Linked DNA regions of Callithrix jacchus. The protein of the gene in region 1 purifies or fractionates together with the protein of each later gene. This does not show direct contact. Links are inferred from orthologs where the notes say so. Each region holds a gene or a part of one and is shown in the gene's direction. Other genes may lie near its edges.

Region 1 (5,887 bases):
AATTATGCCAGTGCAACGAAGATATAACAGAATTCTCTACAGGTTTGCTAACCCATGTTAGTGAGCAAGTCACATAGAGGGAACACCCAATATAGACTTTTCAGGTCAGGAGGAAACGGAAGCTGGTTGACAAGGATCTCTTTATCAGACATAGAAAGCCACTAGTGACTAGTTGAAATTCTCTTACAGGAAAGATTCTTCGAATGTTTTCCAAGTTACACTCCTTTCTTTTATTTTCAGATCATCTGGACTTTCAGTCCACAAATAGATTTTTGTTTTTACTATGGCTGACTTCTACTGTTAGCCAGTTCTTCACATGTCTAGTGTCTGTTCCTGTTTAAGCCTATTTCTTACTTTAAAATTTTAAATTCAATTTCCCATCAAAATTTAAAATTACCTGTTTTTTTCTTTTCTTTTCTTTTCTTTTTTTTGAGACGGGGTCTCACTCTGTTGCCCAGGCTGGAGTGCAGTGGTGTGAACTTGACTCATTGCAACCTCTACCTTAAGGTTCAAGCCATCCTCCCATGTCAGCCCGCCAAGTAGCTAGGACTATAAGCATGGGCCACCATGTCTAGCTAATTTTTACATATTTTGTAGAGATGGGGTCTTCTTATGTTGTCCAGCTGGTCTTGAACTCCTGGGCTCAAGTGATCCACCCACCTTGGCCTTCCAAAGTGCTGGTATCATAGGCATGAACCACTGCGCCTGGCCTACTAGTTTCTTTTGTAATAAAAACATTCAAACATGGCTGGGCATGGTGGCTTACGTCTGTAATCCCAGCATTTTGGCAGGCTGAGGCGGGCAGATCACCTGAGGTCAGGAGTTCGAGAGCAGCCTGACCGACATGGAGAAACCCCGTCTCTACTAAAAATGCAAAATCAGCTGGGTGCAGTGGCGCATGCTTGTAATCCCAGCTACTCAGAAGGTTGAGGCAGGAGAATCACTTGAACCCGGGAGGCAGAAGCTGCAGTGAGCCAAGATTGCGCCATTGCACTGCAGCCTAGGCAACAAGAGCGAAACTCTGTCTCAAAAAAAAAACCAATCATACATGTTGAGCACCATTCTTAGGTCTCTCCTATGCTTCTTCAGAAAAACAACTTTGCTTTTTCATGACTTCAGTCGTCAACTTTTTAATCATTTTTTCCCCTTATTCCCTTTGAACTCTCCATCAGGTTTTCCTTTTCTCTTAATTTATGGATCTAAAACACACAGGTAAAACTCATGTAAATGGAGCCTCCTCATTTATGACAATATTTGGAAGAAAGTAGATTAAATGTTCACTCTTGCTGAAAAATAACTTTTATATACCACTCTAAAACTAGATTCCATTTTTATAGCATAGAGTAAAATATGAAGTTCTTATTAGAGTGGATGTTTCAGAAATACACAAAGTGGTAATTGGTTTGAAAATTGCCTTGAAAGAAAAAAAGCCCACTTTATTAATGATGGTGAAGAGGCACATGCCTGCTTTCCCTTTTGTTCAGAAGCCCACAAACCTTCATATTTTCTTCTAGACCGATCCCTTTTTTTCTTTTTCCTTTTTTTTTTTTTTTTTTTAAGACAGGATCTGACTCTGTCACTCAGGCTGGAGTGCAGTGGTGTGATCTCAACTCACTGCAACCTCTGCCTTCAACGCTCAAGTCATCTTCCCACCTCAGCCTCTCAAGAGTAGCTGGAACTACAGGTGTCCGCTACCACATCCGGCTAATTTTTCTTAGTTTTTGCAGAGAAGGAGTCTCATTTTGTTGCCCAGGCTGGTCTCAAACTCCTGGCCTCAAGTGATCCACCCACATCAGCCTCCCAAAGTGCTGGGATTACAAGTGTGAGCCTCTGGGCTGGGCCAGACCCCTTATTTTTCTAAACCATAAATACATAGAGTTTAAACAATGGAATAAGATAAAATGTGATTTTATAGCAAGATAGGCACTCTTACAGAAGAAATATCTAAAATTCCAAGGAAATAAACAAAATGTAAATATCTTTATGAAATAAGTTTGGTGTTGAATAGAAAAGAGAATAGTAATTTTTAAATTTTTTATTTTGAAACAATTTAGACTTAGAAAAGAGTTGCAAAGGTAATACAGAGTTTGGTTTTGTAGCATCAATTTAAGCCTGCTATGGTCTTCTTGATTTATTTTATCATTTAGGATAATGAAAAATAAGTTCAGGTAAACTTGGTGGCTCACACCTGTAATCCCAGCACTTTGGGAGGCTGAGGTAGGTAGATTATTTGAGCCCAGGAATTTGAGACCAGCCTGGGCAACATAGCGAAAACCCATCTCTACAAAAAAATACAAAAATTATCTGGGTGTGGTGGCACATACCTGTGGTTCCAGCTACTCAGGGGGCTGAGGCAGGAAAACTGCCCAAGTCCAGGAGGTCAGGGCTGCAGTGAGCCATGATTATGCCACTGCACTTCAGCCTGGGTGACAGAGTGAGACTCTGTCTCAAAAACTAGCAAACAACACACACACACACACACACATACACACACACACACACCCCTATCCAACTGAGGCTGGGCATGGTGGCTCACAGCTGTAATTCCAGCACTTTGGGAGGCCAAAGGCAGGAAGATCGCTTAAGGCTAGGATTTCATGACCAGCTTGGACAACATGTTGATACCCTGTTTCTACCAAAGTAATGCAAAAATTAGCCAGGCATGGTGGTCCCAGCTACTCGGGAGGCTGAGGTGAGAAAATCACCTGAGCCCAGGAGGTCAAGGCTGCAGTGAGCTGTGACTGAGCCACTGCACTCCAGCCTGAGCAAGACCCTGTCTCAAAAAAAAAAAAGAAAAGAAATGAAAAGAAGCTAATTCTCCTCTTATTGATAGTTTGAAAGAGAATTTTAATATGGAAAGTTTATTCTGTCATTAATTTCCATGGTGTTGTTTTTACACAGAAGTTTTTGACTATTATCAAGGCCTTAACATTTCTTTATCATATAAGCAATCATCTTCTATAACAACTAAGCAACTTTTGAAACAATTTTTTTTGGTATAAAGTAATTTAACGCAAAAAAATTTGGAATGGGTTTTTCTTGGAGAAATTTAAAAAAAAAGAAAATGAGAAAAAAATATGGAATGGGATTCTCCCATTAGATGAAAGCATATTTTATAGAAATTATTTTCTCTATAGTAATAAAAATATAAAATAATCTTAAGCATTCATATTTTCAAAATATAGTACAGTTGAGATTCTGTGTAATTTTATTTTAAATCCTGTTATATAAGACTTTTAGAATTTCTGATTACTCTTTGGGTAAAAATATGAAAAGCATAAGCAACAATCTACAAAAACTGGGCATATACATAGAGATTTTGTAGTCAAAACATTTTTTAAAATTTATAATATGACACAGTTTCAAACACACAACAAATAACAGCATCCATGTTCCCACTACCCAGATTTTACGAATGTTAACATATTGTCACATTTGCTTCAGAATCTTTTTTTAAGAAATAAAACACTATAGAGACAGTTTTAGTCCCACCACCGGTTAGCGCAATACCACAGAACAGGGCCACCAAAAAGGCTGCCTCCTCTGGCGGTCAGGAAGGGACAAAATCAGAAAGCCAGCGCTGCTGTGACCACTGCAATGGTTGGGTCTGTTCTGTGCCAGATAGATCTCCACTGGCAAAAAATGGATGTCCATGCCCTGCCCTCAATGCCTCCGAAGCTGGTAACAGGACACTGGGATGCCCTCTGGGGAAAACTCAGCACCTTGTCACTGTGTTTACCAACAGAAACCACAGAAGCGGCAGAGGTGTGCTGTCCGTTTCCATCTGCCGGCCAAATCTCAGATGGGCATCTGATTGTCCATCGCAGCAGAATGTTCATGGGAATACTGGCAACCAAAATGATAAAGCTGCTATCTAATATGGTAGAAACTTCTTTAAAGGGTCTTCAAAATCAGATTTCCATTCATATGTCAATGGTACAAATACTTCTAAACCTACATGGCCCTCTTTACCTTTTAATACATAATTAAATGTTACGTAGTATGAGCTAAACGTCATATCTTTTTATCTGAATGCCTATAACTATAACATCAACCATCTGTGTCACCTGTCATACTACTTTGTTTTGTTGGTGACTTTGCCCTGTGCATGAGACTTGTTTTTCCAATTAAACAAATCTTGAATAGAGTAATCAAATCCCGCTTCCCTTTTACGACTTGGAGCACAGGCCTTCACATGTGGCTGCCAGCTGAACGGCTTATTGACTAAAATTCCATGGAGCTCCCTTCTTCCTTCTGTCTCAGATAAGAAATAGAAGCAGAGGAGAGGTAGCCCACTGGGATCTTCCCATAGTTCTAAAAGGCTCTCTGTCCCTGAAGGTTTGCCTTTGTAAAGAATGAAAATTGACTGTAAGTGTATTCCTTTCTAGGGACCAGCCGCACCACCAACTACCTAAGAGAGCTCGTGCTCCTGGGGAGTCCTTGGAGTCCCCTGCCGAGCTGAGACCACAGGTTCCCCAGCCTCCGTCCCCAGCTGCTGTGCCTAGACCCCTTAGCAACCCTCCAGCCAGAGGAACTCTAAAAACAAGCAATTTGCCAGAAGAATTGCGTAAGTTGTTTGCAACATCGTTCTCTCCTTCTTGTCACTTCTTGTACTTTGTGATGGTTGGATGATCACTCATCCATGTCTCAGTTTTTTTTTTTTTTCCAGACAGGGTCTCAGTCCTGTTGCTCAGGCTGGAGTGCAGTAGTGTGATCATGGCTAACGGCAGCCTCAACCCCCCAGGCTCAAGTGATTCTCCCACTAGGGTTACAGGGGCACACCACCACACCCAGATAATTTGCTTATACTTTTGCTAGAGATGGGGTTTCGCCATGTTGCTTAGGCTGGTCTCGAACTGCTGGACTCAAGCGATCCACCCACCTTGGCCTCCCAAAGTGTTAGGATTACAGGCGTGAGCCACTGCACCTGGCCTCATAACCTCAGCTATTTCTCATAGACACACTAAAATAAAATGCACGTTTTTGCTTAAAAAGTAATCAGCATTTTGTATGAATGTTTTTAGTGATTCTGACACCACTAGTAATGCTCTCAAACTGCTTACCTCTAGATTTCCTTAAGCACATACTCCAAAAATAAATAACCCCAATGTCTTTTCCCTATTCTAAATGATGCTCTTGAGTGGACTTGTCCCTGGGTAAATTGATTGGATGTCCATGTGGTATTGGACAAGGACCCAGCATCTCACCATAAGTTACCAGCAGCCATCAAGAACGAGGTCATTTCCTGTAGGAATGAGCAATCTTGTTTGGAAAAAACGGTCTCACATTCTCCAAACTGCAACACAACCAAATGCAAACTAAGCCTTTTATTTAAAGAAACATTCGACTAAGCGTAAGGTGATGATTCTTTTTCCACATTTTGCTGCCAGAACCAGAAATGTTGAAATACCACCAAAATGTTCTCATATTAAGGTCAGTCAGGATGGTAATTTCCAGAAATCTTAAGAAAACAGCCACTACTTGTGCAATTATTACATGATGTGCTTGCTAGAGAAGCTCGGGTAATTCTAATATGCATTTTCCAAATCTGGGAACCTTTTTGAACCAAACCTGAAATGAGGCCTTTTGTATGTGCTGATTCCTTTTGGGGGATCTGTGCTGATTAGTCATTGACAATTCCAAAAGATTTCTATGACAATGATTCATTGCTATTTTCATTCAAAACATTTTATTTCTGAACACTTTCTTCAAATCTTAATCATTTTAATTTTGAGCATTTCTGGAGAACAAATCCTGCCCTGCATATGTCATAGTTCTGATATAAGTTTATAGATCATATATATCTTACCATAATCTATAAAGGAAATCCTAAAATACACAAGAATTGGGTGAATGTTAGGTGTTCAGATGAAAATTGAGTGCCATC
Region 2 (5,887 bases), on another chromosome or scaffold:
CTTGCTTCATGAGAGCCTCACATCTTGGGGGTATTAGGACACTTCTTTTAGCTTTCCTTCTACCCCTCCTGCTTCTCCTCAGTTTTCCTCCTCTTGCTTTCAGCTTACCTGACTTTCTAGGGCTTTCTGGGTTCTGGATGCTCACTCTGAGGGAGTCCCTGTCTTACCTCTAGCACCAAACCTGCACCAGATCCTGCCCTCTGGCTGTCTACATGTTTTGGGAACTTACTCACCATCTTCACTGTTGCTTTAGTTTGGACCTCATCACTGTGGTCCGGGTGATGCCTTTGCTGCTTCCTGACCTCCCTGCCTCTGGTTTCTCCCCTCAGCTGGTTCTCTCTCCATCCTCTTGCCAACGTGAGCATTCTACAGTTTCTTTCAGATCATGACACTCTCCTATTTGAGATGGTTCCTGTGTCTCTGTTGGAACCCAGACTTCTTAGCATGGCACCTGCCCTTCCTGCTGCATTTCCTGATCTCTTCCCTGTGTGTGTGCATTTGTGCACATGTCTGTGCGTAGGTGCATACTTGCAATCCTCTGACCACACTGTTCATTCTCTTCCATCAAACTCATCTGCCTGGCATACCTTAAACACCTGCCCCAGGCCAGCTGTGATGGCTCACATCTGTAATCCCAGCACTTTGGAAGGCTGAGGTGGATGGATCACTTGAGGTCAGGAATTTAAGAACAGCCAGGTCAACATGGTGAAATCCCATCTCATCAAATACAAAAAAATTAGCTGGGTGTGGTGGTGGGCACCTGTAATCCCAGCTACTCAGGAGGCTGAGGCAGGAGAAATGCTTGAATCTGGGAGGTGGAGGTTGCAGTGAGCTGAGATTGTGCTACTGCACTTCAGCCTAGGCAACAGAGCAACATTCGGTCTCAAAAAACAAATACCTGCCCCATTGACTTTTTGCTTTTCATTTTTAAAAATGGGCAAGATAGACATATGGGACAGAAAGCATAGAAGATCCAAAGTGATGTCTCCGTGTCTTTCTCGCATCCCTGCCCCTTCGCCTCCCAGTTCTCTCTGGAGGCAGCCATTGTTCCTTGCATATCCTTCCAGAGATTCTACATATAAATAAACCAACACACACACACACACTCCCTCCTTTTACTTTCGCACAAATAGGAGTATACCATATACACTTTATTTGTTAACTGTCAGCCTTTCCCTAGAATATTGCATATTCTTTAAATGTAGAGACTTGGCCTTTTTTTTTTTCTTTCACTGATACATTCCCTATACCTAGAACAGTACCTCATGCATAATAGGTGCTGTATAAATTTTTACTGATAAATGTTGACCGACTACTGGAGGCACTAGTGGCATAGTATTTATAGAATCAGTGCACTGGCTTACAAATCTGATTACAGCTCAGTAAGTGTGTGAGCCTCACTGAGCCTCAGTGTCCTCATCTGGAAAATGGGAATGACCATCATTTCACAAGGCTTGAGCTAAAGGCATGTAAAGTGTGTTGTAAACTGAATGCTCTACTCATGTAAGACTTGCTTTCTTCAAAGCGTCTCTCTTTTTCTCCTACCTTAGATAATTTTTCCTTTGCAATGGCCTGTGTCCATCCTGCTCCACTCCTGGGGCCACCCTGGACCAGGTCTTCATCATCTCATATCTAGATGCTTGCTGTGCCTCCTAGCTGGCCACTCTTCTGTAATTTCTCCGCCTCTGAGCTCTCTAAGCAGCTGAATCCTCTCACTAGTGAAGTCCTCTGGTTGGATGCTGATGAGACTGACCAGGTGAATCCAGTCGAAAACATCACACCTGCCAGTGATCTGGTTCTAAAGACCCAATTTTCCATAGGTCCCTAACACCGTCCTGCATGCCACCTGCCTGATTTCCCCATCACATCGTCCCACGTAGCTGGCCCACTTAGGTCTTTTGTCTGCAGGGAAGCCTTTCCGGAAGACCCTTAAACGGGAGGTTTTCAAAAGGGGGCTCCCTGTGGAACGTTTGCCAATGTCTGGACACATTTCATTTGTCACAAATGGAGACAGGGATGCTACAGGGATCTGACAGATAAAGGCCAGGGATGCTGCTGAACATCTGCAATACATAGGGCAGCCCCCGCCCCCCAAAGAATGATCCAGCCCAAATGTCACTGGTGCTGAGATTGAGTAACCCTGTCTTAAACTGAACTCATCATCTCTCCATTCCAGCCATGGTGGATTCTGCCTCCTCTGAACCATTCCCATCTCACTTAAGCCTACCTATATCACAAAGCTTGGCACTCATTATAGACTCCCCTATTTATTACTCCTTCAAGATGTGCAATAATCTTTTCTCAGCACTTTTAAGTTCTGTGAGGACAGAGTGTGTGTCATTCCTATAATAACCAGCATAGGATGTGGCACATACTGTGTGCTCAGTGAACCTAGATTTGTTGATTGTTGACTGACTTGCTCTAGAGTTGGAAATCTTATGCTTGTGGAAACTTAGTATCTCTCTCTCTCTCTCTCTCTCTCTCTCTCTCTCTCTCTCTCTTTCTCTCTCTCTCTCTCTCTCTCTCTGTGTGTGTACGTGCGCATTTGTGCACATGTGTGTGCGTAGGTGTGAGACCAAAGGCCTGGCTGAGCAACAGGCAGGAACAGACAAGACTGATGCTGTCTGTGGTGAGTCCTGGAAAATGGGCCCCAGAGACAGCCTGGGAAGGTGGGGGCTGAAAGGGGAGGCGGAGGCACACAGGGACACTGGATGAGAAAAGGGGGAGGGGAGGCAGTTTGGGGGTGTGGTATCACAGCTCTGCCACTTACCTTGGGAGCCTGGGCAAATCACTTCTCCTCTCTTAGCCTCAGTTTCTTCATCTGTATAATGGGATAACAGCACCTCCCTTGGTAGATTTTGATTTTAGAGGGAGAAGGTTGGCCTACAGCACAGATCAGATAATGTTAATCAGTGAAAAAGGTCAGGGGTAAGAAAAATACATTCCCTTTGCTTTCTCTTAAAATTTACTTTCCTATTCCTAGGGCTGGGACTAGAATGAGGTGAGCATGGCACTTGCCCTTCAGCACAATATTTAAGAAGGTGCCTTAAAAGTGTAATAATCAAGGTAGATTCATCTTTTAAATTATTTATTGGTAGATTCATTTTGATGCAATATTTTTAAAAATAAAAATTAATGCAAAGAAATCCACGATGAGCAAGATAGCAACATTTTAAATAAAGAACAGGACCCAACCCTGTGTTTGCATGACTCTGCCTCTCTTGCCTCACCCTAATCCTGGCTCTGGTTCCAATAAAATGAATAGGCAGCCAGCCTGCAGGCCGTAGTTTGCTGACTTGGTGTCTGCCTGATGATTTCCAAAATATGGCATGAAAAGAGTACTTATCTTGATGCCTGAGTTTTTGGGTCGTCCTTTTCAATTTTGTCCTGAAACAATTTCATTCCTTGCCTCACCCTAGTCGCTGCCCTGCCTTTTGGTCTTTTATTTTTCTACTTAGAAAAAAAAAACCAGGCACGAGAAATACTTTACCTTTCCCCTCCACTCTTCTATACCAAAAGCAACATGCTGACATGAATCATGCTAGACTTCAGCACTGGACAGAGAGCAGGGAGTGATGGGGAGCGTGGTAAGCAGGTGGTGACAGCCACGGCTGCTACTTGCTTCTTGCTGATGGTTCCCAGGTGGGGAGGCTGCCCACTGAAACCTGGTCTTCCCAGTTTGTAAGAGAAATCAGATGTCTAGTTTTAATAGGTGATCTCCCAGTTTTAAAATGCCGGCAAATATTTCCAAACATTAAAAAATGTTCTGGTTCCTTTAAAGACATCTGCCAGCCACGTTTCCCCAAGGGCCACGGTTTGAACCCTTTGATGTAGATGAGCTCTGACACTGGAGGATTCTGGAGTCTGAAATGTCACAGCAGGTTTGGGGTGGGGAGAAACTGCAGGTCGGGGGGTGCATGCCGAAGTCCTGATTTCTCCAGGTCCCCAGAATCGGCTGAGACTCCTGGCGGTGATCCCCATCATGTTGGGGATCCTGTTTGCCATCCTCCTGGTGCTGGTCTTTATCAGTGAGTCCCCAGGTGGGGAGGTGATGGGGAAGGGAGTGGGGACCACCTGTTTACCGATCTAGCCTCTCCAACTCCCCTTTCATTTTCTTTTTCTCTAGAAAAGGTGGACAGGAAGCCACAGGATAAGGTAGGTCATCCCTGAGACCGGGACAGAGTTTTGGCAAACTGGAAAGATGGCCTCATGGTTACCTATAGGGCAGTAAAACTGATTCAGAGTCTGTCCCTGCCGCCAGGGGGGTGGCAGCAGAATTGGGGACTCTCACCCCCACCCACCATGCTCCTTCCATCCAGAGTTCAATCTCCGCAGAACTGCCCCTGGTACCCCTGGCAGAGCCTAACACTGGCTGTTCTCCATGCCTTTCCTGACATTCAACACGTGGGGAGCTGCATCTTTGGGTCTTGGGGCTAGGTCAGATGGGTGGGAGCAAATGTAGCAGCCCCGTAAGCTCACTGACTCCCACTCTGGAAGCTCCTCCTCACCCTTGGTGTGGCCAGCAGGGGGCAGGAGGTACCCGAGGAATTGGCACTGACCTGCCATCTGGGAAAGGGAAAGAGCTTGGGGAGGGGATCCACTTCCCAGGGAGGGGCTCCTCAGAGGCACAGCTGCCCCTGTTGCTGGGGTGACCTCACACCTTGCCTCCCCAGGCCCCCTGCACCAAGCAGATTCCCCAGGAGATAGACGATCTTCCTGGCCCCAACCCTACCCCTCCAGTGCAGGAGACTTTACATGGATGTCAACCAGTTGCCCAGGAGGATGGTAAAGAGAGTCGCATCTCAGTGCAGGAGAGACAGTGAAGCTGGACGCACCCAGGAGTGTGGCCATGTGGGCAAACAGGCACCTTGCCAGAGAGCCTGGTGCTACTGCTGCTGTGACATGAGGGTGAGGGACTGGCACTGACTGGGCACAGCTCCTCCCTCCTGCTTGCATCCCTGCATGTTGAGACAGGAGACTTAACAGCGGATGCAGAAACACTTCACCTTGAAGAACCTCTCACTTCATCCCTTGAGCCCATCCAGTCTCCCAACTTGTATTAAAGACAGAGGCAGAACTTTGGTGGTGGTGGTGGGGGCTGTGATATAGCAATATCCACCAGGCCTTCCGATCCAGCAGTTTGGTGCCCCGAGAGGCGTCGTAGTGGCTTCCCTGCACACAGGAAGCCACATACATGGATGCCCACTGCAGCGTTGTTTGTGATAGTAAACAACGGGATGCTGCTTAACTGTCCATCAGCAGGAAACCCGCACTTTGGGTCCTGAGCTAAATAAAATTGGAATATGTTTATACAACAGAGTCTCAAAAACACTGTCGAGTAAGGAAAAAAGTGTGTTGCTGAATGATGGGTATGAAACCTTTAAAAAAAAAGTACATGCTTTTATGTATGTATGTTGCCTATGGCTATATGTATAAATATAATATACATCATATATTGGTATAACAAGTGTTCTGGAAGGATACACAGAAAACCCACAGCTCGAAGAGTGGTGACGTCTGGGGTGGGGAAGAAGGGGCTGGGGGAGGGTTGGTTAAAGGGAGATTTGGTTTTCCCATAATGCTTCATTTTTTTTCCCAAAAGGAGAGTGAATTCACGTAATGCTTATGTAATTTAAAAAATCATCAAACATGTAAAAAGAAAAACAGGGGCGAACATGCTGGGTGACATGAGCTGTTTAACCTGCTGCCAGGCTCAGGAATGAGGGCATTTTCTGTAGATCCATGAGAATGTCCCAGGTTGCTGCCTCTCCAGGGTGGTTTCCGTGGGTGCTCACATGTGGCATCGAGGTTACAAAGTGCTCTTCCCATTTGATTCATGGTCACAAAAATAGCCTTCCCAGGCTGGGCAGGCCCGCATGCCCCCGTC

Evidence for each region.
Region 2: the proteins of TRAF3IP2 (region 1) and CD40 purify together in Homo sapiens (affinity purification with western blotting, with the first as the bait; 3 studies listed by BioGRID). This does not show direct contact. The link is inferred for Callithrix jacchus from reciprocal best matches to the Homo sapiens genes TRAF3IP2 and CD40.

What each region holds. Positions count from the first base shown.
Region 1 is NC_133505.1:117,825,802-117,831,688, reverse strand, and holds part of TRAF3IP2 (E3 ubiquitin ligase TRAF3IP2), read left to right. Parts: intron 1-4,388; coding exon 4,389-4,567; intron 4,568-5,887. UniProt on the Homo sapiens protein: E3 ubiquitin ligase that catalyzes 'Lys-63'-linked polyubiquitination of target protein, enhancing protein-protein interaction and cell signaling. Transfers ubiquitin from E2 ubiquitin-conjugating enzyme UBE2V1-UBE2N to substrate protein.
Region 2 is NC_133506.1:41,361,640-41,367,526, forward strand, and holds the end of CD40 (tumor necrosis factor receptor superfamily member 5), read left to right. Parts: intron 1-2,567; coding exon 2,568-2,629; intron 2,630-3,941; coding exon of another isoform or gene 3,942-4,028; intron 4,029-4,126; coding exon 4,127-4,155; intron 4,156-4,673; coding exon 4,674-4,823; 3' UTR 4,824-5,315; downstream 5,316-5,887.